Linked DNA regions of Oryzias latipes. The main gene of each other region encodes a partner of the protein of the gene in region 2 in a complex. Links are inferred from orthologs where the notes say so. Each region holds a gene or a part of one and is shown on either strand. Other genes may lie near its edges. The genes, in order: semaphorin-7A and plxnc1.

The links.
Region 1: the proteins of plxnc1 (region 2) and semaphorin-7A are in contact, whole or in part, in a crystal structure (PDB 3NVQ), measured with the Homo sapiens proteins. The link is inferred for Oryzias latipes from reciprocal best matches to the Homo sapiens genes PLXNC1 and SEMA7A. Residues at the interface, in NP_005752.1 of Homo sapiens: Arg131, Thr151, Glu152, Val153, Asn195, Pro196, Ala197, Ala198, Ser199, Asp200, His201, Thr203, Ala206, Lys208, Arg213, Ser214, Leu215, Ala216, Thr217, Gln218, Glu219, Leu220, Arg222, Lys224, Glu272, Ala350, Ser352, His353; in NP_003603.1 of Homo sapiens: Gln194, Tyr196, Asn197, Gly198, Lys199, Arg202, Arg204, Tyr213, Ser215, Asp216, Thr217, Gln270, Gly271, Gly272, Glu273, Ser274, Ser275, Leu276, Val278, Ser279, Lys280, Pro372, Thr375, Glu376, Phe378, Gln379, Asp382, Arg383.

What each region holds. Positions count from the first base shown.
Region 1 is NC_019874.2:26,905,384-26,917,424, forward strand, and holds the start of semaphorin-7A, read right to left. Parts: upstream 7,894-12,041; 5' UTR 6,085-7,893; coding exon 6,006-6,084; exon of another isoform or gene 5,249-6,005; intron 1-5,248. Other genes in the region: leucine-rich repeat and immunoglobulin-like domain-containing nogo receptor-interacting protein 1, read right to left, coding at 11,272-12,041. UniProt on the Homo sapiens protein: Plays an important role in integrin-mediated signaling and functions both in regulating cell migration and immune responses.
Region 2 is NC_019881.2:2,528,952-2,541,082, reverse strand, and holds the start of plxnc1 (plexin-C1), read right to left. Parts: upstream 6,679-12,131; 5' UTR 6,639-6,678; coding exon 5,607-6,638; intron 542-5,606; coding exon 410-541; intron 1-409.

The DNA.
Region 1 (12,041 bases), on a different chromosome or scaffold from region 2:
GGGATGTTATAAATATGGCCCGACCAGGCTCGGCCATGTTGGAAGTTTGGCGGGGCCCAGCGCCCAGGGGCAAGGACCAGGACCCACCCCCCAGGGACACGAACACCCCCGGCTCAGGTGTAATATGAACCCCCCCACCGTGCGGAGAGAGCACCGCCGGGCCCAGGGAGCCGGCACCCAAGGGACACGGCCGCCATCGCCAAGGGGCCCGCACCCCCCACCAGGGAAGGGGTAGGGGACAGATGGACCCAGGTCCCACCTTCCTTGTAAAATGTGTGTGCGTGTATGGGTGTTTGAGAGGGTGTTTGTGTGCATGTGTGTGTGTTTATGTTTGAATGTATATATTGAAGGGGGAGGGGTGTGTGTACTAAGGGGGGTGCAGTTAAAATTGGCGAGTAGGGCACTAAGGGGACATCTCCTGATTACTCACAGTGATGTCCCCTCACCCTCCACACCAAGGGGCCCTAAATGTCTAAGGTGCGGTTAAAATTGGCGGGTAGGGTGCCAGGAGGACATCTGCTGCTTGCTTGCAGTGATGTCCAAGCACCCCCCCTACCAAGGACCCTACATGTCTAAGGTGCAAATAAAACCGAAAGAGGGGGGGCCCACTCCATACGGCAACCATAGGAGGGGGGCCACTCCCAAGTAGCCCCCCCCCCAAGGCGCATCGCAGGCTAGACCCCCCACCCCCTCACCCTAATATGAGGTTATATAAGGAAGGGGGTAAGTTGGGGACAGCTGGTAGACTGTCCCCCGGTGGTCAAACAGCCGTCCCCCAGCCCACCCCCAGCAAAGGGGCCAGGGCCACCCAGCCCAGGGGCCCACCCCCGGAGGCGCCGACACCCCAGGCCCGGCACCACCCACCCCACACAGAGAGAGGACAAGCAAAGTTTTTAGTTCATCATTTGCTATTAGTAAAGTTCTAGCAAACTCACTAAACTCATATCTAATATCCACTTCATTTGAGCAAAATTGTGCTCTCTTTGTTGGAAGACCAAAGGGAAACTTGTCAATGCAGGTTATAGTTTCACTTCACATCATCATATTATCATTTTGATGCATTGAACTCTTTCAAGTTTGGGAAAATGAAATCTACAAAGTGAACGCAGCAACACATCTTTTTTTCTATTTTCTGTGCTCATTATTATATTGTTACAAAATAAACATGTAACTATTAGAAAACGGTTTAACTAAATATTCCCACATCTGTTTCATAGTCTAAACCAAAACTGTTGGTAAATCCAGTTTTATTGATATCTGTTCACAGAAAGAGACTTGACTCAAAGACCATCTCCAATAAAAATTGTGTTTTTGGTGTTTTTAAAATATTGATCTAGAATTTTTCTGATTTAAAAAAACTGTGTTTCTCAGTATGTATTCAAATCATTGTGAATCAGGAGCAGATAAAAAAACATTCAGATTGAAAACGTTTAAGCGACAAGCTCTCTGCTCCTCTCCATTCAGATTCATTCGATCATTCACAAATAAATCCAATATTGTCTTCATCATCTTCAAACAAGCTGGCATCTGGCTCAAAACTGTACGACTGGATAGTTCCAATATTCATTCATTTTCTTAACCGTTTTGTCCCTTTCGGGTCACGGGGCTGCCGGAGCCTATCCCGGCCACTTTTGGGTGAAGGCAGGGGACAACCTGGACAGGTAGCCAGTCTGTCGCAGGGTAGAATGTCCACAATCACACACCCATTCACTCTCACACTCACACCTAGGGACAATTTAGATTGGCCAATTAACCTATGCAGCATGTTTTTGGATGGTGGGAGGAAGCCGGAGACCCCGGAGAGAACCCACGCATGCACAGGGAGAACATGCAAACTCTACACAGAAAGATCCCCTGTTGATGTAGTTTTTCATCTCCCCCAGCCGGGACTTGAACCTGAGGCCTTCTTGCTGTGAGGCAAGAAGGCCTCACAGTAAGAAGGCTAACCACTGCGCCACCGTGCAGCCTAGTTCCAACATTGTTCGCCCTTTTTTGTTGCACTGGTAATCTTAGGTTGGGGGTGTGAGGGGCTGGAAGCCAGCAGGAAAGAGTGTAAACAAAGGGATGAAGGGGAATGAACGCAGGCTTACTTCCTGCCAACAGTCCCACCCACAACTCAGAGGGGAATTTCCGAAACTCCTACCGCTCTGCTGAAAAATTGTTAAAGAGAATGACAGGTTTTGGGATTTTGGCTAAAAATGACATGGTTGGAAGATCATAGAACTTTAAAAACTATTCTAAATAAGATCAAAATTGTTGCCAGAAATACTGTGATTATTTAACAAATGATGAGAAGATTCTTTTATTCCACCTTTTCAAAGTCAAACATCCGTGTTAATTGAAAGCTGTAAAAACCATTAAACTCTTCAACTTCTCTTCCATAAACAGCTGGAAAAAAAATGTGTGCTATAACAAGAAGTTAAGGGCTGCATGTCTGTGTTTAACTAAATCCATCTCTGGAGAAATCTACTTTTAACCCTTGTGCTATCCTGGGCACTTTAACATTGGGAGTTGGGTCATCTAGACCCACTAGACAGTGCTCTGAACCTTTTTTCTTCAATGATTTGTGATCTTCACTGGTGTCCATGGATTACATGAAATCTTTCCACCTTTATCCACCTTTTTCATGGCAGGAATAACATGTCAATGTAAGGGTGGGGTCATCTAAGATAGCACAAGAGTTACACGACAAGCTTCATGGGGACGAGTCATCATCAATCCTCCATTCTAAAGACAGAGGAGTCTTTTGTTCCAAAGGCTTTCACTCATTGACAACAAAAACAGATGCAGAAAAAAGAAATTCAGGTGTCGTACTCCTCAAGGTTCGAAACAGGTTATAATAATTAAACGGTTGTTTAAAATATGGTCTGCTGCAACAGAACAAGGAATGCATCTTTAAGTGTAGAGATTCATAAGTGTGTTTTTTTTTGTTCTCACAAACCTAAATTTGTTCTTTCTCTTTTTCTCTCAGACATTCAATCGCTTGTGCTCGGCCATACCCTTGAATCTTCAAAAGGTCAGCTGAGCACAAACAAAGACAAACATCCTCATTTTCTCTAGCTTGCCTGATTAAAAGGTTTAATTAAAAGGCAATTACAGACACATGTTCTTAGAAGTAAAAGCATTTTGAATTAGTGAGTCATTTTTAAAGGCAGAAATATGCAAATTGAGGAAAGGAGAGCAACTTTGGTGGGTTAGTCTGAAAGGAAAAGGCATTTACTGGAAGAAAAAAAAAAACGCAGAGCCAAAGTTCAGTGATCAAGAACCCATTGAAGATTTCTCCATTTAGTTCCATCAAACCAAATGAAAAACACATTTCAGAAAATGTTTTACTGTCTTCACCCAAGAATTCAATTCAATTTTATTTGTATAGCCCAAATTCACAACAACAGTCGTCTAGATGGGCTTTGAAGGATGCCATGTTCTTGTTTTTTTGTTCCTTCTGGACTTTGTTTTTCTTGTAATATCACTGTCAGGTCATAGATATGTATTCAGTTCACAAAGTAAAGAGAGGCTGACTTTTTTTTTTCATTTATTCATTGAATAATCCAAATCCTAATCCTTTCAGCAAACCCCTAAAAGAAATGAAAAGCACAAAGCTTCGGTCCTGTTTTTAATCCTGAACAAATACACGAACGCCTAATACATGAGAAAAAAAAGAAACTATTATAAAAGCAACCGCAGCTATGCAAATCAACACTTTTAGTAATTGTGATGCAAAAGGTGCCTCTCGCAGCAAAAAAACCCAACTCAACAAAGACGTCATTTACTTTAGCAGCAGCTCTGAGGCTTTTTAGCTCATTCCAGCAAGCTGCTTTTGCTTTTAAATGATGGCTTTAGTGGCACTGTTCTGATTCTGTCACTGCCTTTCCAGTAGCAGCAGGCAGCTTTTTGATAAGACAGGTTTGATCAGACAATACAAGAAAACACATCTCCCTGCCATGGGAGCAGCAGACAACAAAATATGAAGCTCCTTGGATGCTAAAGAGTCATTTAGTTATCTCGGGAGGATGATGGCCAAATTAAATCTAAAATTGAGTGATTGTTGAACTTTACTTCAGCATGTGGGCAGAATCACGATTCCAAATGCTAAATGGTGTCAAAAATGTGTGTATCAGGTGTAAAAGAGGAGGCAGCCTGCGTTTAAAGGCCAAACTGTTTAGATTTCTGATCAAATGTGGTTCAACAAACACAATATAATTTGGCTTTTTAGATATTTTACATGAAACTGATGTAATTGTAGAAGGGTAAAATGCAGCAAAAAAGGCAGAAAAAAAGCAACTTCATTTTTTTTTTCCAATGAAAATTGTTGGTGCAGTTTATGTACTTGGTCTATGTGTTTCTGTTACTAAACATTCAAATGTTCTGGACTTGTTTGAGACTTTCTGCTCCAGGAGTTTTGCCCACCACCTATCTGTCACAAAACATTAACTGGCGATAAAGTATAAGGCACATGAGAATTTAGTTTGACTTCATAAGAACCTTAACCACACAAATCAAATTGGTAATGTATGTCTCAAGGGCTGGACTATAATTGAATTGTATTTTAGTTCCCTTTATAGTCGCTTAAAATTGTGCCTTGATCTTGTTGTAAATGTGGAAGAAGAAACAGAAAATGATTATTTTATCCAAGAAAAAGCCTCTAAATAACCCCATTCAAAGCTAGAATCCCCTTGTTTTAAAACTGTTTTTAAACAACCTTGGTTTCATTTGATTAAATTTAACATAGCAGAAGAAAATTTAAAACATTTTTTCAGGATTTCAACAGGTGTAAACACCAGAGTAAAACCCCAAGCTCGATTTTCTGAAGGTGAAAAAAAGGTCTCCAAATGCTAACTTCCTGAGGAACACCTCGGAGCTGTCCGAGGTCCTGAACCAGCTTTTAAAAAAATCTTTCCTGTTTTCCCCCCAAATCCCCTGAACGTCTTCCTGTCCCGGAGTCAGCAATTCTATAAGAACAGTTTGATTGATATGACACGCACGTCCACCAGCGGCATCTTGAGCTCCACCACGAAGAGAGAAGCGATTCAGATAACTTGACAACAGCCCACACCTCTATTGATTGCTGAATACATTAGAGATTTGTGTGGGGTGTAAAAAATAATAAATAAACTTTAAAAAACGGGGGGGGGGGGGGGACTCGTGAGTGGAATAGATAACGGGGTCTGTGCTCGGAATTTTCCACTCCACACTCTTCCCCCAATCATGTCCCCTCATTGTCTGCTTTTCTGAAGCCCGCGTCCAGCTGTGCGTGCTTTCCCTCCACTGTGAGGCTGAGCTCTCCCGACTCCTCTGCTGCAGTGGGAAGCAGCTGTACGTGTCCCGCATTGCAGCTCCGCAAGGACGCGGAGCCACAATGACTGTATCAACCGCTACAGAGCGATATTTCACAATAACGACGCTTTTCGGCGATGACAGCCGCAGCCTTCGCAGGACAAAAAAAGACGCCATGATCCCCCTCCTCCTTCAGAGGACGAGAGGTCGCCTTTGAACGCCTGGGGGTTGATTATCCCTCTGTGCGTCTGACGCGGAGACAGAGAGACATCGGAGCCTTTGAGAACTTGTGTCATAAATGGGAATCAAAAAGGAAAAAACAAGAAAGTTGCATATTTACGCATACAAAACTAAATGGACCCAAATGGACAGAAAACATACTGAGTTTATTGGTCTCACAGATTTTCCAGGTTTTCATTCAGATCACCTGACTATGTTTGCAGGCCTGGATGCTGGAGCGCGTAATTTACAACTCAAATGAAGGAGGGAGGGTCTGTTAGGGAGATTAATCGGGACGCAGTTCTCCGATGAAGGCTTGATATGCGCTCATAGTACATGGCAAAGAGAAGACACCCGCACTTTAAAAGAGCAGATCAACCATGAAGGGGCGCATCAACCCCAAGATGCTCAATCCAATCATCTGTCCACCCCCTCCAGCCAAGACTCCAAGGCTCAACACAGAACAGAAAACGGAGCAGTAAAACATGCGGACAAAACCAACGGCGGCTTACCGTGCACCACAAATTTCAGCCTGGGCGCCTTTCCCGCAACGACCGAGGCCAAAAGTGCCAGGAGGACCAACGAATTCATCTTGCTTTTGAGGTCTGCTGTTCTCCACGATGCGCTCCGTCTGAAGTCCTGTCCTCTCTCCACTCAGGTCCCTCCCCGATCTGCTGTGTCCCATAGGCTGTGCCAACCACCGCTGCTCCCAGATACGTCTGCTCTTCCAGAGGTTCCAGGGGCTCATAACATTTGGGGTGTCTGGCTTCAGGGAGACGACAGGCAGCGGGGGGAGTGATGCTTTGCAGGAGCAAAATGAATACATTGACTTCGTGTTATTCCAAATCCACGATTATGAATTATGCTCCCCATACCTGTTGCTGAAAAGATGATTTTATGTTTGGATGGCCAAACAAACATCTAACTGTTTTTATACTTTCTATTTTTCTTAAATTTGTATAATCTTTGGATGTAACTGCATCCAAAGTAACCTCAAATTAACCGTTTCTCCATCTGTTTCAAGAGTGTAAGATGAATTCGACTCTCACATTTTTGAATTAAAAGTCACAAATATGAAGAAGCGTGAATGGGGAATAACCGCCAGGAGAGGCTTCATAAATGCCTTCTTTTCATTCACAGGAAAATTATAGCTGCAGGCAGGCGCCGAGCAAAGCCTCATCTGCGCCTTTATGAGAGCTCTCTGCAGAGCAGCGCGCCATGGAGTGGAATAAATCAGCAGGATGTTACTCTAAAAATCAGGGAGAAAAAGAGGCATTCCGGTTTCTCATTCACTTCAGATGCCACACAGACGACAAAACGAGCAGAAATCCACCCACGTGATCTGCATTAAAATAGCTTGAACTGCCTCTGTAATCAATCATTTGAAGCCGATTCAGATCTGATCTTTGAAGTGTTTGTATTTGCTGAAAATTTGAGCAACCATAAGTTTAATATCTTCAGTCACATTCGGTTATTTGGTCATTTTAAGACCAGATCCCTGTTTTATTTTTTTAGGAACAGATTAACACAATACAGCATAAACGTTCAATCTGCAGTCCACCACGCAGTTTCAGAATGTTTTTCCCTTCCCAACTAACGTTTTTCTATCCGTGTATAACTGGGATTACATGCTTTGTCGATTTAAGACTTCAATCCTCAGAGATTTTTGTTTTGTTGACTTTATGTTTCCCACATTTCACCACTAGATGGCAGCAAAGGCAGAGTTTTCCGACTGGTTTTCACAATAACTTTATGTTTCTTACATCATTGCATCTGAACGTCCTGTTCCCACTTCAGAGGTTCAGTGTGCTGATGTTTTATTATTAAGATGACCTATTGGATAGAATACATACATATATGTTAGTATGGGATTCATAAAATACAACTTTTCCTAAAGGATAGATTTTAGATTTTCATTAAAATCTTATACACAAATTCATGGAGAGAAAAGCTAAATCAAATTCAAAATGATGTGGAGATTAAAGGTGGGCTGCCTGTGATTCCTGGCTGCCATGCACAATATTTCAAGTGGGTTTCAGATTTCCTTCTGATTGGTCTCTTTTGAAACAAAAAGGTCAGACTTGGGCTGCGGACAAAAATATCCTGACGATATGTCATTTGTTCAGTTTTTTTTTTTTGTAAGATCCATGTAAAATCTGTAAGTTTTGGTTGTTTTAAATCAATATCTCGGAATCTGGAGGAAGAAAGCTGCTTGAGACTGATCAAGACAAAGTTTCAGTTGTTCAGTTTCATGAACATTTTTTTCAACTGTATCTGTTGATTTCCTGTGTTTTATTTGGTTAAAAGTCAACGCTGTCATCTACCAGGATGTTTCTGAACACTTCTAGCTTCAAACTGCTCACTACTTTTGTGAAGATGGTGCGTTTTATTTCCCAGCAGGACTTGGACCTTGTGCACACTTTGCCAAAAATATCAGAGGCAAGAGATCCCTGTGGCTGATTGGCAGGAAATTCACCTGAACTGAAGGAACCTTAGGAGGAAGAGACAACAACTCAACACAGAAAACTCAAGGAGATCTATCAGAGCAACATCCCAGCAATCCCAGGTTGAATCTTACATTTCTGTAAATGAAACTTTAGTAGATTGTGTTTTCAATATTTATAAAGTACATTTTTGCGATTCCTATTTAAGCATAAGACAGAGAATACAATAAAGCTGCTTGTGAACACAGCTTCAGCTTATTGGGATTTACCTTGAAGCACCCTCTTTCATCTGCAGTCAGACGGCTTTAGGCTTCACTTTGATTTACTTACAAAACACTTGATTGAGGAAAATGGCTTTTGCTTGTTAAACCTAATGAGTCTATTTAGTTTGTGCTCTCAGCACAACTGCCGGGTTTAAATCAGAACATCAGCAGATCACAGGGACTAATGACGGCGAATCCAGAGAATGAGGATGAGAATGATTGTTTTTCACCTAGTTGGGTCCAATTTAAAACTTACTCCGCAGATCCTGACACAGATCAGCGTAAACAAGACATTTGCATTAAGCATAGGGAAAAATTAAGTTTCTGATGTCACTTTTCATGCTGGAATTTGAACTATTAATGGATTTAACTTTTTACAGTTGTGTAGACTATTAAAAGTCCCACTCAGATCAAATTTTGACCTGTTGTTTTAACCATGATAATGCAGTTTTTAGCCAAAATGTAAAAAAAAGAAAAAGTTCGTTTTTGGGACACAGTTTCTGCAAAGCGGCAGGAGTTCATTAGTAATTCGCCTTCAAGTTGTGGGCGGGACCAATGGTGTGGAGCAAGCAAACCCCCTTTCCCCTCCCCATTCTTGAGAGCTCTATGTTTATGCACTCTCTCTCTAGCTCACAGCCTCTTACACCACAAGCTAATATTACTTGAAAATACGAAAATGGTGAGCAACATTGGAGCTATCCAGCCATACAGTTTTGTGCCAGATGTCAGCTCGAATGAGAAGAACAAAGACATTGATGGAGTCGTCGACAAGCATCAGAATGGAGCGGAGCAGGGAGCTTGTGGCCCGCCCGGCATATTTTATGTCACAAATAAGCTCTCTTTCAATCACTATTTTTGCATCTGCTCCTAAATAAACAATGATCTGGAAAATACATACTCAGAAAAGTCATTTTGAGCTTAATTTTATTTATTTATGTCAAGAACATGTTAAAAACACAAAAAACACCTTTTTTATTTTGGTGAGTCTTTCAGGACTGTATTTATTGACTCCATAGTTGAGTAATTTGGTTAAAAGGGCAATAATAAAATTAATAAAATAAGAAAAAATACTATTTTTAATGATTTAGTTGAGCTGTAATTTAATTTTTTTCTGGGAAAAACGGATTAAAGTTTACTGACAGCAGATGTGAGGAGACCACAATATTCTTTGGGGTGTATGACAGTCATGGGATATGGGAGGGGCTTCGGAGCACCACTTTAATCTCCTCCCTTGGCTTTCTGTCCAATGGGAGCAAATGGTTATATTAAAATAGATAATATGACAGGCCAGGCTGGGCAGGAGGATAGCACCCACCAGACAGACCTATATAACAGATTGAGACGTGCCGAGGTAATCCAAAAGGGTTTAAATCTCTGCTCATACACGTGATAATCACTTTTTTCCCCTCCTCGCTTTTCTGGGTTATTCTGGGGATGACACGAACAAAATTATCTACTGTTCAGTGAATTCGTTTGAGTCTCTCAACCTCTACAGTGAAATGATGGTAGCGCTTGGGTTTAATATTTGCTGAGTTTCACTCTCAGCCTCAGAGCTGTGCAATGAAAGAGACCTGAAAATACGAGATAAATTGAGTTTAAACTGAGAGTATATTTCTGCAGGTTAAATCTCACAATCTGTCATTCATTCATTCATCTTCTTCCGTTTTGTCCCTTTCGAGGTCATGGGGCTGCTGGAGCCTATCCTACATCCTAGACAGGTCGTCAGTCTGTCGCAGGGCCACATATCACACACTTAGGCAGATTCACACCTACGGACAATTTAGAGTAACAAATTAACCTATTAAACCTGTTTTTGGACTTTGTCATATTTACAGAAAATAAAAACCAAAACATGTGCATTTGGTTCACTAAAAGGAATCAGTCATTTCTCACAAAGAAAATCTTCCCTCAGTTTGAAGCTCACAAATGAAGAACTTCAGTCTTTGTTTTTATCTACTGTAATGATATTTTGTAGATACAAAAACATTCAGAAAAAAACAAGAGCAGGTTCAAACCGGTATTTAATGACAACATGAAAATATTTTACAGCAAAAAAACAATTATGTCAATCTTGCACAACTTCATTTCAGGCATGGTTAAGTGTTTTTGTACACAGCCTAATGCATCTACTCAGTTTGGTATACAAGACGGGCATATGTGAGTGACACTAATCCCCAGGACTGGATAAAATTATAGAATATACGTAGGACACAAGTCAACCTTGACCTAAATATTTACAAGATAACGCAGATCAAGGACAGCATTCTCTCTGTCGATGGTGAGACTGTCAGTGAGGCACATAGTTTTCAGCGTTTCGTTCGGATACAAAATATATATAAAATCATAGCATGCTGAGACAGAAAATAACAAAAGGAAAGGTGCAGTTGATCTAAAAAAAAAACTTGTAAAAGTATAAAACAGTTAAGTATACATTGCCATTTACATGGCTACCTAACACAGATGCCTAAACCTTCCAAACCTTAACATTCTAAAAAGGTCTAAAGTGTCTAAATTTTAGGAAGAGAGTAGGAATATATTTGGCTATTCTATTCCAAACATGGATATCAAAGCTTTACTCACAAGTTAAAGTCTTAAAACCAAAGCAGAATTTGTGTAAAAGGGTCGAATATGGCAAAGCAGAGACAGTAAATAAGTCTATCAGTCCAACATGGATGATCAAACAGCACTTATTGTCTTTTACCACTGTGATTTAGTCTTCAAAGACTAAAATGTATTCAATTCATTTTTTACAAGTTCATGCTTTATATAAAAGAAACCAATGATGCATATTGACTCAATGTTTACTGAAATTAAATGTACACAAACTGAGACACCTCTGTCTACATAATGATGTTCACCCCAAGGACTGTACGATCATTAGTTTCAAAACACAGGCGAGAAGATGCCTGGATGTAACTTTCAGCTACAAAAGTAGAAGAAGGCTGGCACAGGAGCAAGAAACTCTTTTTGATCAGGCATCTGGAGAAGCCTTTGATACCAGGTGTCCATCTCCAGAGTAGCAGTGTGAGTTCATAGTGCAGAAAAATTCACAGAAACTTCCTTCGATTGGTCTAAATAAGTTTCATGGTAAACCTGCCGCCATCGGCGCCATCCCCTCCTCCACCGACAGAAGAGCGTGGAACAAAGTCAATCGTTGCCGTGTGCTTGATCTGACCTTTGCTCTGGCTCCAGAAGAACATGAAGACGAAACAGATGGCCACCGAGCTGAGGAAGGACAGGAAGCCCATAGTGGTGGCAATGATCAGCGTCTTGGCATCAAATGGGTATGGCTTGGCCATTTGAGCAGAGGAGTTGGCGTTTTGGAGGTCTGGGGGCTCGACCCAGCTTTCTTCCAGAAAGAAAGGGGTCGTTTTGTTACGAGGGACCCCTTTCACATACAACCCAACAGACATGCTGTCATTGCCTGCAGCGTTGACTGCCAAGCACTGATATGTGCCGCTGTCCTGAACTTGGGCAAAGCGGACTTCCAGAGTTCCATTCGGTAGAACTCTGATTCTTCCTGTGGGGGAAACTGTGTTCTTATGAGAGGAGATCCAGGTGATGGTTGGAAATGGATCCCCATCAGCCTTGCAGGAAAAGAGAACTGTGGTGCCCTCCTCAACCCTCGCCTCCTGCGGCCTGCGGTCCATAATACGAGCCGGCCGACACGTGAAGAGCCTGACGAGTTCCTTCTCAGAAAAGTCTCTGAACTCGCGCTGCTGTACAGCGTCAGGAGAAGAACAGGTGGGCTGGTGGCCGTCAAAGTTTAAGCGCTGCCTGCGCCGCATCACCCAGAGAAGCCGGCAGTCACATGCAAGGGGATTCCCGTCCAAACGCAACA
Region 2 (12,131 bases):
TCCTGCCTTCAGTCTGACCCTCAGCTGTTGTGATCAACATTGTTGTTTCCTGTTTCCTCTTAATGGTAACAGGAGTTTTATTTTGGTGCATAACAGTGACAAAAGCAAGAACTCTCAACAGAAATGTATATTTAAAAACTATAGCTGTCTGCATGTGATCTGGCTTGCATGAAGTAACACGACAGGAAAAGGATGTTACAATGCAATAGTTCACATTTTAGGTGTTGAAAATAAAACTGTTTTTCTGCGACTTTTTGACCAAAAACGTTTTTTTTTCTTAACTTGTTTAACTGAGTCATTATGCAGCCTACAAAAGAAACCAGGGAAGACTTCTCAACATCAGTATTTAACCGTTTCAGTTGAAAGGGAAAAAAAGAGAAATTGTAGGTGTAATTCATTTCCTATGCACCTTAATTAGCTGTCCATCCGCCGTCCCAACGAAGAAGACCATCCAGGTCTTCTGTCTCACAGCCAGCACAGACGTCATGCTGTTCTGCTTGTAGAGAACAGTTTCAGCTGTCAAGCTTTTCAACGTTCTCTGCTGAAAAACAGAAACACGTCTGTCATTGAACAGATTTGGGTCCGCAAACACCTAAAGATATAACAGCTATTAAATTGTGAAAGACTTTTGAATGGCTGATGGGTTAGTACAGTGGTTCTCAAACTTTTTCTCTTTTTCCCCCTTTGGGGGAGGAAAAATGTTCACACCCCCCCTCCCACTCCCCAACCGGGAAAAAACACAGGAGGTGGAACAGCTACAGTATTGACATGTGCACTGGACCAATTATTTATGACTTTGGATTCTAAAGACAAAGACGAAGCCTGAAATGGTGCAGCCACGTTAGATGGAGTTTACTGTTCAACTCAGTAAACTCCATCTGTGGGTGCACCCACAGCCACCCCCCATAACCCTACTCTCTACAACCCTCCTCCCCCGCCATATTGTCTAAGCCCCCCTCCCCAACCCCCTTAATGCCCTCCCCCCTCTGTGATGGGGAGGGAGAGCCCCAGAGGATCCCAGCGAGCCAGCCCCCAGGTCCGTCCCACCCATGCTGTTCCAGATTTTAGCTGCAGAATATTGAAACGCTGATTCCCCTTGTTTAGTTCTGACTCTGGGTATCAACAGGAGGCCGGCCCCTGAGGTCCTCAGAGTACGAGATGGTTCATATGGCACTAACATGTCAGAGATGTACTTTGGTGCGTGGCCATGGAGAGACTTGTACACAAGCAGAGCTGCTTTGAAGTCTATTCTTTGAGGTACAGGGAGCCAGTGCAAAGACCTGAGCACAGGACTAATGTGATCATACTTCCTGGTTTTGGTCAGGACTCGAGCAGCAGCATTCTGGATGTACTGAAGCTGTTTTACAGCTCGTTTGGAGAGGCCGGTGAGCAGGCCGTTACAGTAGTCTAACCTACTGGAGACAAATGCATGAATAAGTATCTCCATTACCGCAGCCGACAGGATACCCACAAGCCCGGCCGCCCTGAGAGGACCAGCCACTCCGGGGTCCCTCTGTGTGTGCTGTGTATTTGCTGTGTGTGTGCTGCTAACGTGCAATGTGTTCCACCAAACCCTCCACATAAGGCCCAAGTAAAACCGGGATGGAGGGCGGGCGCCGACGCGACCCCAGAGAGAGAAACACCCCCAGTGAGCCCCGCCAGCATACCCCACCCATCCAGTTCCCGGAGCCCTATGTACAACATTTGTTTGGGTGACGGCGGGGAGGAGTAGGCGGATGGGCACAACCGGGGGAAGAAGGCTCCCCCGAGCGACCGGCCCCCCAGCCGGCCGCGGTAGGCGCCCCCCCTCCCAGGGCGGCCAGGCAGTCAGGAGGCGGAAAGCCAGCCGCAGATAGAGGCTCGCAGCGCCGATAGACGGCCAGCAAAGAAGGGGCCCGGTGCCAGGACCACCACTAGCACAGGATGTGGTGCATCCGGGACCACCTCCGGAACAGGACGGGGCTGGGGTGCATCCGGGACCACCACTGGAAGGGGTCGTGGTGCGTGCCGGACCACCTCCGGAACAGGACGGGGCTGGGGTGCATCCGGGACCACCACTGGAAGGGGTTGTGGTGCGTGCCGGACCACCTCTGGAACAGGACAGGGCTGGGGTGCATCCGGGACCACCACTGGAAGGGGTTGTGGTGCGTGCCGGACCACCTCCGGAACAGGACAGGGCAGGGGTGCATCCGGGACCACCACTGGAAGGGGATGTGGTGCATCCGGGACCACTGCCGGAACAAAAACGGGTCGTGGACGGGGACGGTGGCGGCGACCACGAGGATCCCCCTTCAGGGCAAGATGGCTCCCAGTAAAGTCCAGGTGGCTCCCACTCCAGGCATATGAGGCAAACTGGGCCTGGTCGAAAACCCAATATGTCCTGGTCCGCTCTGCTTCTTGGCAGTAGGCCTCTAGCAGCCGCTCTGCTGGGTCCAGAAAATATGGCTGGTCCATTCTGTCAGGGTGAGGGGGGCTTGAGAGCAGGTAGGACCCAGACGCAGAGGCAGGAGGCACACGGTTCCAATGCAAGAGGGTTTAATAACAAACAAAAGGCGCTGCAGAGCAGGAATCAAAACAAAACAAAGCTTACTGTGGCGTGGCGAGGAACATGGAACATGGCATGAAGGGACGAAGACACATGAAGACGTTAACGGACCAGCACAAGAGGAAGGCAGAGACAAGACTTATATACAGACAGGGTAGACAAGACACAGGTGAACACGATCAGGGCAGATGGGGACCAAGGAAGTACAACTCAAGACATGACAAGACAGGAAACCTTTCAAAATAAAACAGGAAACAGAACCAAACAAGACAGAACAAGCACTAAAGCAAAAACCAAGACAAAACAAACTCAAACCATGACACTGACCTCCCTAAGGACTAGCACACCGCCCCCCCAGGCCCCCCCCAATTAAAAAAAGAAAGAAAAAAATAAGAAAAAATAATAATAATAACAATAATATATATATATATATATATATATATATATATATATATATATATATATATATATATATATATATATATATATATGGCCAACTACTGGCCAAGGGTGAAACATCGGCCGCGGGCAGACGACCCCAGGCCCCACAACCCCAAGCCCCAGCCCCCGCCACAGCGACCAGCCACCCAGCACGGCACCCGGCCGCCGTTCCCGGTCAGCCGCACTGACCGGGAACGGCCCAGGAACCCCTGCCAATTTGCCGGCAGAGTGCGCACCCCCACCCGAGCAACCAGAGCCCAAGCCGGGAGAGCGGTAGGCCCGGCCCACCCAACCAGCCAGGACCCGGCTCAACCCATCACCATCCCACCCCTACTAGGTGATGTGACTAATCACATCACAAATGGTGCAGCCACGTTAGATGGAGTTTACTGTTCAACTCAATGTTCTGAGCATGGATGATCGGGGGGTCAAAGTAGAGGAGGTTTTCTGTTTGTAAATCATGAACAGACAAGTTCAGCATAAAGAAAATCCTAGTTGGGATTTTAGTCTATTTTTTTTCTAACAGGGTTACTTTTCACTGAACACTGGCTGTTCTGCTTTTCCTTGAGACAAGAAAAAAACATTTAATTGTTCGTAGTTATTGAATATGTGAAAAGGAAATGTGAAACTAACTACAGTTTTGATTCTAAATAACTTTATTCTCTTTGCTTTTTAAGAAAAACACTTTCCAAACTTCAATTTTGCCTTCAAATACATTTAATACACTATTATTTTTGCAGTGATTAATTGTGATTATTCAGAGAAAATCATTAGTTTAAATGCAGTCAAACTTTTAATTCATTGCCCAAAATTTTTTAGTTGTTTCATTCTTATTGCCAGTCTCAATCATCATCCAACCATCTATTTTCCAAATCTGCTTATTGTCTTTTAGTGTCACAGGGTTGCTGGAGCCTATCCCAGCTACTGTTTGGTGAAGGGCGGGGTACACCCTGAACAGTCCATCACATGGCCACACGACCAAAAACATTCACATTCTCACATTAGGACAACGTGGAGTCATCAATTAACCTGTGAAGCTTGTTTTTGGACTGTGGAAGGAAAGTATCTGTAGAATAGGAAACTCACTGGCCATCTTTTTAGGCACATCTGTTCCACTGTTGGTTAATGTACACTCCTAATGAGTAGGGCTGCACGATATGAGGAAAACCCGCGATATTAGTGATCAATATTGCAATGACAATATATGAACCAATAGCAAAACAACCAAAAACATCATTTCCATTTCACTGCAACAGTTTAAAAATTCAACTCCAAATGACCGTCGGTTACATAGGAGGCGAACATCTAACATAAAAGAGCTCCAGCCGATTTGTCAACAACATTGGATTGGTCAATTGCAAAAATCGGTTTATTGGATTCGTTAAATACTTCAAACTGCCGTAAGATGGTTTTAGTACATTTATTATAACAATTTATTGCAATTTTCTCCGTCTTTTGCGATATGCATATTGCACAGCTCGATTGTGTGATTATAATAAATTTCAGCCAAAAATAGAAAAGATCCAGTTAGCAGCAGTTCTGTGGGCAGAACAACCAGACTGGTTCCAGCTGATAGAAAGACAACAGGAACTCAAAGAACCACTGGTTCCAACCGAGGTCTGCAGAAGATCATCTCTGAAAGAATAACACGTCCAACCTGGAGGCAGATGGACTACAGTAGCAGAAGACCACACCGGGTACCACTGCTGTCAGCTAAGAACAGCAAACTGAGGCTACAATTCACACAGAATCACCAGAACAGGACAATGCAGATGTTCCTCTGTCTCATTTATGTTTTCTGAAGGTCACTTTATCTTATGTGAATGCCACTTTTTGCTGTCATATTTCTGGATGTCTTTTTTGCTGCCGAAGATGAGAATCTCCCCATTGTGGGATAAAGAAAGTTTATCTTATCTTAACAGAAGATGGAAAAACGTTGTCCGGTCTGATGAGTCTCCATTTCTGCTGCCACATTCAGATGGTAGGGTCAGAATTTGGCCTCAACAACATGAAAGCATGGATCCATCCTGCCTTGTATCAACGGTTCAGGCTGGTGGTGGTGGTGTCATGGTGTGGGGCATAAAGTATTTTCCTGGCACACTTTGGGCCTCTTAGTACCAGTTGAGCATGGTTCCAACCCCATATCCTACCTGAGTATTGTTGCTGACCATTTCCATCCCTTTCTGGCCACAGTGGACCATCTTCTTATGCTACTTCCAGCAGGATAAGGCGCCATGTCAGAAAACTGGAATCATCTCAGACTGGTTTCTTCTTCCACCGTCATCAGATCTCAACCCACTAGAGCACCTGTTGCCCTCTGAGAGGCGCATCAGAGGCATCAGAGCCAAAACAAACAGACTCAAAAACAGCTTTTCCTCAAGGCAATAGCCATGCTAAACTCCAAAATGTACCTAATAAAGTGGCTGGTGAGTGTGGATGCGCCCTTTTCAAAGGTCAGAAGACAAGGAGGGCTAAAACATCTATCACCATTCACCCTTAAGCAGCATCTGTGGACTTCAAATATTTCCCAGTTTACTGTTGACCACAGGAATGACAGCAGAAAATGAAACATTTAAAAAGGATTTTAGTGTCAGGACAGAAGAATTCTTCAGCCACTTACCGCATTTGTGGGTGGTTTCTTGAAGTAGAAATCTGGTTCCTTGTTGGGATTATTGATGACAGGAGGGCTGATGTCAAACAGAACCAGCTGGGTATTGGTCTGTCCTCTGTCCACACAGAATACCCCGCTCCAAAGCACCCGCTCTCCACCTGGGACAACCGAGGAGGCCAGCAATCTGCTCCCATCCCATCCACTGATGTTGAGCGTAGCGGCTTCCAGAGATTCCAGAGTTTCTTCTTTACTTTTAGAAGCTTTAAGCCAAAGAAGACGGACTTTGTTTTTGTCCACGTTGGAGAGGATATAGATAGTTTGGTTGATCTGAAAGCCATCTACAAACTCCACAGTACCCTTACTTTCAATCACCGGAGTAAAGGTTTGGTCTTCAGTGAGAGAAAATATACCTCCGTCTTGAGCCTCAAGCGTGTTCTGCAGATTAATTGTCTTTGCATCAGACCTAGTACTGGGTTTATTTGGATCTTGCTGTATGGCAGTCAGAATGTAAGTTTCCTTCTGAGGTGGATTCTTCTCCAGTTCCACCAGGAGGCTGATGGATGCGTCGCTTTGCATCAGTGGCCCCACCTGAATGTCTTCACTGTGCAGAACTTTAGAAATGTTCTTCAGGTCCAGAACCTCACAGTATCCTCGTGGTTTTTTCTCTGTCACGCCGCAGATGAGCAGAGTTTTATTTGCCACAAAAGGCAGGAGCACGTTGACGGTGAAATTTGACTTCCATAATTCTCTTTCTGAGACACAATGAAGCGAAGCATCCCCCTGCCCCTCCCCACCTGACAGACCCCTCAGAGTGGGACAGTGCAGCGGTGTCAGGTTGTGGCTCAGCTGGTAGAGTTTCTCCTCCGTGGCGATGTAAACTCCGTCTGGAGCCACGGCCAGGTGTCGCACTTTTCCTTCCAAAGTGAAAGTTGTGTCCTCTTCCAGACTCACGGCAGGTTCTGCCCAGAGGGGAAACAGCAGAGAGAGAAGCAGGATCATGTTGAAGCAAAGCTGTTTCCTCCACAAGCTCCCCGTCTGCATGTCACTCTGCTCTGAAGATTACAGCTCAAAGGAGAAGTGCTTAGACGTGAGGCGAGGAGGCGGCGCATCCACCAACGCTGAGAACTGCAGAGCTTTTTCAGGTAGTGAGCTTTTCCTCGGTTTATTTTCTGCTTCCTACAGATACAGATACCAACTGGAACCAGATCTGATGCTGTCATTGATGCCAGCTCACCACAGAATAAGACAGAAGGAGTTGTTGTGTTCATCAGTCCTGAACAACCACTGCATGTTATCTAAAGAGTTCTAAAAACTAATCAGAGGATCAGGGATCAATAGACATTTTTCAGGGTCAATGTTTGCAGTTTAAGACTTCTAAAAACACTTTCTGACTTTTTCTCAGTAATATAACAGTCGCTTAAAAGAGTAAATCTATGCCGCCACCTACTGGGTATGTTGAGTAACTTTAGCAGCAATAAGAATGACACGATTCATTAAATTTACTGTTATAGATGACCACTTCAAGACCTGCTCCTTTGAAAATCGTGCTTCATGTGTTTTAACATGTTTCATGTGACATTTTTGTCATGATGCAGGACTTTTATAAAGAAAATTAAGTTAAAAATGGCATTTCTGAATATTTTGTTATTCAAATTGTGGTAACTCTGGAGCAGATGAAAAAGTACTGTTGGAAAAAGCTGTGATGCAGGTGTTACTGTCGGCGGGCCACAAGCTCTCAGGTTGTCTGCAATCTTAAAACTTCCTGCAGATTTGGTCCCGTTTTTCAGCTGCAGACAGCTCGTATCCACCTGTAAGAGCAGTTGTGACTGAGGCTGTAGATGTCAGCAATACTCCCTTATGATACTCGTGTAGGTGAAAGTGATATAATTCTCAACATGAGTTTGTTCACTTTATGATATTGGAAGACATCAAAGCAATAAAACACTGGAGGCTGTTTGCAATGACAAAATGTGCTGCAGGCAAAATAAACATGAATCAAGTTGAATCCAGATGGTAATTTTTTTTTTTTTTTTTTTTTTTTTTTTTTTTTTTCTAACTTGTCCTGTCCAACAGCTAGGCAGACAGATGAGAGCTGAGGGCCTCTTGGGTTGGACATATTTTACTTTAACAAGAGGGGTTATTAATCTTCAGACAAACCAAAGGTATGTCTGAATAAACCCCTTTTGTAATTGAGGCCAAACTTTATTAATTTCAAACATGTCTGAAAATCTTTGGTGTTGGACCGGACGGAAAAGGAAAGAGGGGAACAAGAGAGAGGGACGTTAGAGAGAGGGGGGGTAGGGGGTGATAATAGGAGGGGAAGGGGGATAAGACCATGAAGCAGCATAAAGCAGCAAGTTTACTGGTTGTTAATCATTATGGTAAGGTTCAAATGAAAAAAAAAACAAAAAAAAAAAAGAGGGCGGAGCCTGTCCACACACACACTCAAATGTTATAAACACACCTGTTAGTTGCAAAAATGTCCACCTGTCGACATGTACACAAAACAGATAGTGTTCACATGCATACTTATGCCTTAAAACCAACTAGTGTGAAATATTTCAGTCATTCAGTCTGTTGAGCTAACACCTGTGCTCAGGTGAGTGTTTATGTTCTTCTAAAATGGATGGTGGAACGTGAAAAGAAGGAGGGAGAGTGCCCAGCCATCCCCACCCCAAGACCCCCACCGCACCAGCAGCGGCAGCCGGAATCCCCCCAACGCCACACGGGAACCGGCAGGGAACAACCGCCGCCCGGGCGACCAAGCCCGCCACCCAGGCCAGGGCCAGCAGGGCCGCCGCAAGGCCCCCAGAGCCAGAGAGCAGGGAGGCACGGAGGGAAAGAGGGCGCCGCCCCAGCCCAACCAGGAGAGCAGCCCCCCCGCCGCGCCGGGAGAACCCAACGCAGGGCCCCACCGGAGAAGGACGCCCACAGCCCCAGACGAGCACCCCACCACCACCCAGGAGTTCCGGGCATCCCCCCGCCCCAACCCCAGGTACGAGCCAGGACCCCCCAAGGGAGACCCACTCCGCACTCCAGGCAGCCATCCGCCCGGCCCACGGTTGGTCCAGGGAGGAGCGAGGCAGGGGCCCGCCGCCCCCGCCCAGAAGGGGGGAACCCCGGGGAAAAAAAAGAGGGCCCACAAGGGGTGTTGTAAATATGGCCCGACCAGGCTCGGCCACAGTTGGAAATTTGGCAGGGCCCAGCACTCAGGAGCAAGGACCAGAACCCACCCCCCAGGGACACGAACACCCCCGGCTCAGATGTAATGTGAACCCCCCCACCGCGCGGAGAGAGCACCGCCGGGCCCAGGAGGCCAGCACCCCGGGGACACAGCCGCCGTTGCAAAGGGGCCCGTACCCCCCACCAGGGAAGAGGCAGGGGACAGATGGTCCCAGGTCCCACCTTCCTTGCAAAATGTGTGTGCGTGTATGTGTGTTTGAGAGAGTGTGTGTGTGCATGTGTGTGTGTTTATGTTGGGATGTATATATTGAGGGGGGAGGGGTGTGTGTACTAAGGGGGGTGTGGTTAAAATTGGCGGGTAGGGCACTAAGGGGACGTCTCCTGATTACTCACAGTGACGTCCCCTCACCCTCCCCACCAAGGGGCCCTAAATGTCTAAGGTGCGGTTAAAATTGGCGGGTAGGGTGCTAGGAGGACATCCGCTGCTTGCTGGCAGTGATGTCCAAGCACCCCCCCTACCAAGGGCCCTACATGTCTAAGGTGCAAATAAAACCGAAAGAGGGGGGGCCCACTCCATACGGCAACCACAGGAGGGGGGTCACTGCCTAGTAAACCCCCCCCCCAAGGCTCATCGCAGGCTAAGCCCCCCACCCCCTCACCCTATTATGAGGTTATATGAGGAAGGGGGTAAGTTGGGGACAGATGATAGACTGTCCCCCGGTGGTCAAACAGCCGTCCCCCGCCCCCCCCCCAGCAAGGGGGCCAGGCCCACCCAGCCCCGGGGCCCCACCCCCGGAGGCGCAGACACCCCAGGCCCAGCACCACCACCCCCACACAGAGAGAGGGGAGCCAGAAAGCGCCGGCCCCCCCCGGAGCAAGCCCAGGCCCCCACCCCCAAACGCCGGCCCTAGAAGAGCTCTGGTCAGGCCTCGACGGGACCGAGGCAGCCAACCGGCCGGGGAAACCGCCGATGGCCTCAGCGGAGACCCCGACCCGTCAACCCCCCCTGCCCCGTACCAATAGTGCCCCCCCCCCCTCCCCCAGAATGCCCCCCCACAGGACAGGGCCGACAAGACCCCCACCCCACCCCACCCCCAGACCCCGCAGCCGAAGCGGATGACACCCAGAGCGACCGGGGGCCCCAAGAGGGTTGTCCCGTCCCGCCCCAGAGCCAGGGAAGGGCCGATCCCAGCCCCAGGCGTAGACGGGAAGCCCATCCAGCGCCGCTGGGCCCCTCCCCCCGAGCAGCGCCCCCCGCCAACCCCCCCCAGCACAGGCAAAGGGACCACCCCCCCAAGCCAAGCCAGACCACCACCCCACCCCCCACCACGCACCCCCACACCCAAGCCCAGAGGACCACGCAGCGCCCCAGGCCGCCCCACCCAGGCGCCGGACCCGACCCCCCGACCAACGGAGCCCCCACCACCCCCGGCCAGGCACCGGAGGCCCCGACCCCCACCCCGGCCCACGGCAGAAGGGCAAGGAGCAGCGACGACCATGCCCCCCCCCCCCCCCCTAAGTCACGGAGTTAGCTATGGGAGACCAGAGAGACCGAATTCTTTCAAAGTTACTTGAACTTTGGGCTGACATTTTTTCCAAGCTGATATGATCAAGCAGCAGATTTCTGTGTTGACTTATATTTATATTTTTTTTGCTTTTCCAATTTATTAAAATAGTTTTTTTAGCAATGCAAAGAGTTATGAAAATGATAGATGCTAATCCTACTTCTACATCGATGGCACTCATGTCAACAAGCACACAAAGTGACGGTGAAGCAGTGATTGAAACCTTAAGCCAGACTGATAGATCGGCACATACCTGCTGCCAGAGAGCCTGGACAGGCGTGCAGAACCATAGTGCATGCATGTAATTGTCGGGTAGATTACTGTCACAGTGCTGACAAATGTCTGAGTTACTGAGACCCATCTTGAACATCCTCTGTCCAGTGTAGTAAATTCTGTGAAGAGTTTTGAAATGGATTAGCTGCAGATTTGGATTTTTTGTCATTTTAAAGGTGTTTAGACAAAGTTCTGACCAAAAACTTTCATCTGTGCTGATGCTCAAATCCGCATCCCATTTTGTTGTCGGAAGTGAAATATTGTTATCTAAATTACATAAAAGTTTGTATATTTTGGAGAGAGTTTTATTCATTGAGAAATTGATCAGAGTGGTAACTACATCTGGTAGCTTTAAATCGTTGTCTCTGTATTTAAACTTTTTAGTAATAATTGATTTAAGTTGCTGATATTCCAAGAAGTTATATATTCCATGTTTGTCTTGAAGTTCCTGGGGAGTTATGAATCTTCTATTAATAATTATGTGCTCTAGTTGTTTTATGCCCCCTGCTTGCCAAGCTGGGAAGTGGATAATTTTTTTGTTTATGAGGATGTCTGGGTTGTTCCAGATGGGTGTCATTTTGCACGGTTGAATTGATGATTTTGATATTTTGAGAAATTCCCACCAGGCTGTTAAGGTGGCATTTATATTAATACTTTTGAAACAATCCTGTCTTTTAACTATTTGACTAATAAATGGAAGATCTGACAGGTTGATCTTTCCACATAACGCCTGTTCCAAGTCTAACCATGAGTTGGTTTCTGGATTATTTTTTAACCATTTTAAGATGTATTGTAATCTATTTGCAAGAAAGTAATTGTGGAAGTTAGGTAATTCTAATCCTCCACAGCTTTTTGCAGATTTTAAAGTATTTAGACTAATTCTTGCAGGTTTATTGTTCCATAGAAAGCTTGATATGGATGAGTCTAATGTTTTGAACCATTTTAATGGCGGTTGTGTGGGAATCATTGAGAAGAGATAATTAACTTTGGGTAAGATTTTCATTTTAACCGTGGCTACCTTGCCCATAAGGGACAAAGGCAGGTTGGTCCAGCGTGTTAGATCGTCCTGTATGTTTTTCAGTAATGGGGTGTAGTTTAGCAGCACCAGTTCTGATATTTTGGGGGAAAAATAAATACCTAGATATTTTATATTGCCTGATTTAACTGGTATTGTGAGTCCTTGCTCCGCATTACTGTTCAGTGGTAATAAAACAGATTTATTCCAATTAATGGAATAGTCTGATATAGAAGAGAATTCATTAATGATTGTTGCCGTTTCATTTACAGAATGTATATTACTTAAAAACAGTAATATGTCATCTGCATAGAGACTAATTTTATGATGGCTGTGTTTGGTTTTAATTCCTTTAATACTCTCATTCTGTCTTATTGCTGCAGCTAGAGGCTCGATAAATATTGCAAAAAGAGAGGGGGAGAGTGGGCAACCCTGTCTAGTTCCTCTTCCAAGAAAAAACCTGTTGGAAGTCTGTTTATTAGTTCTAACTGATGCAGT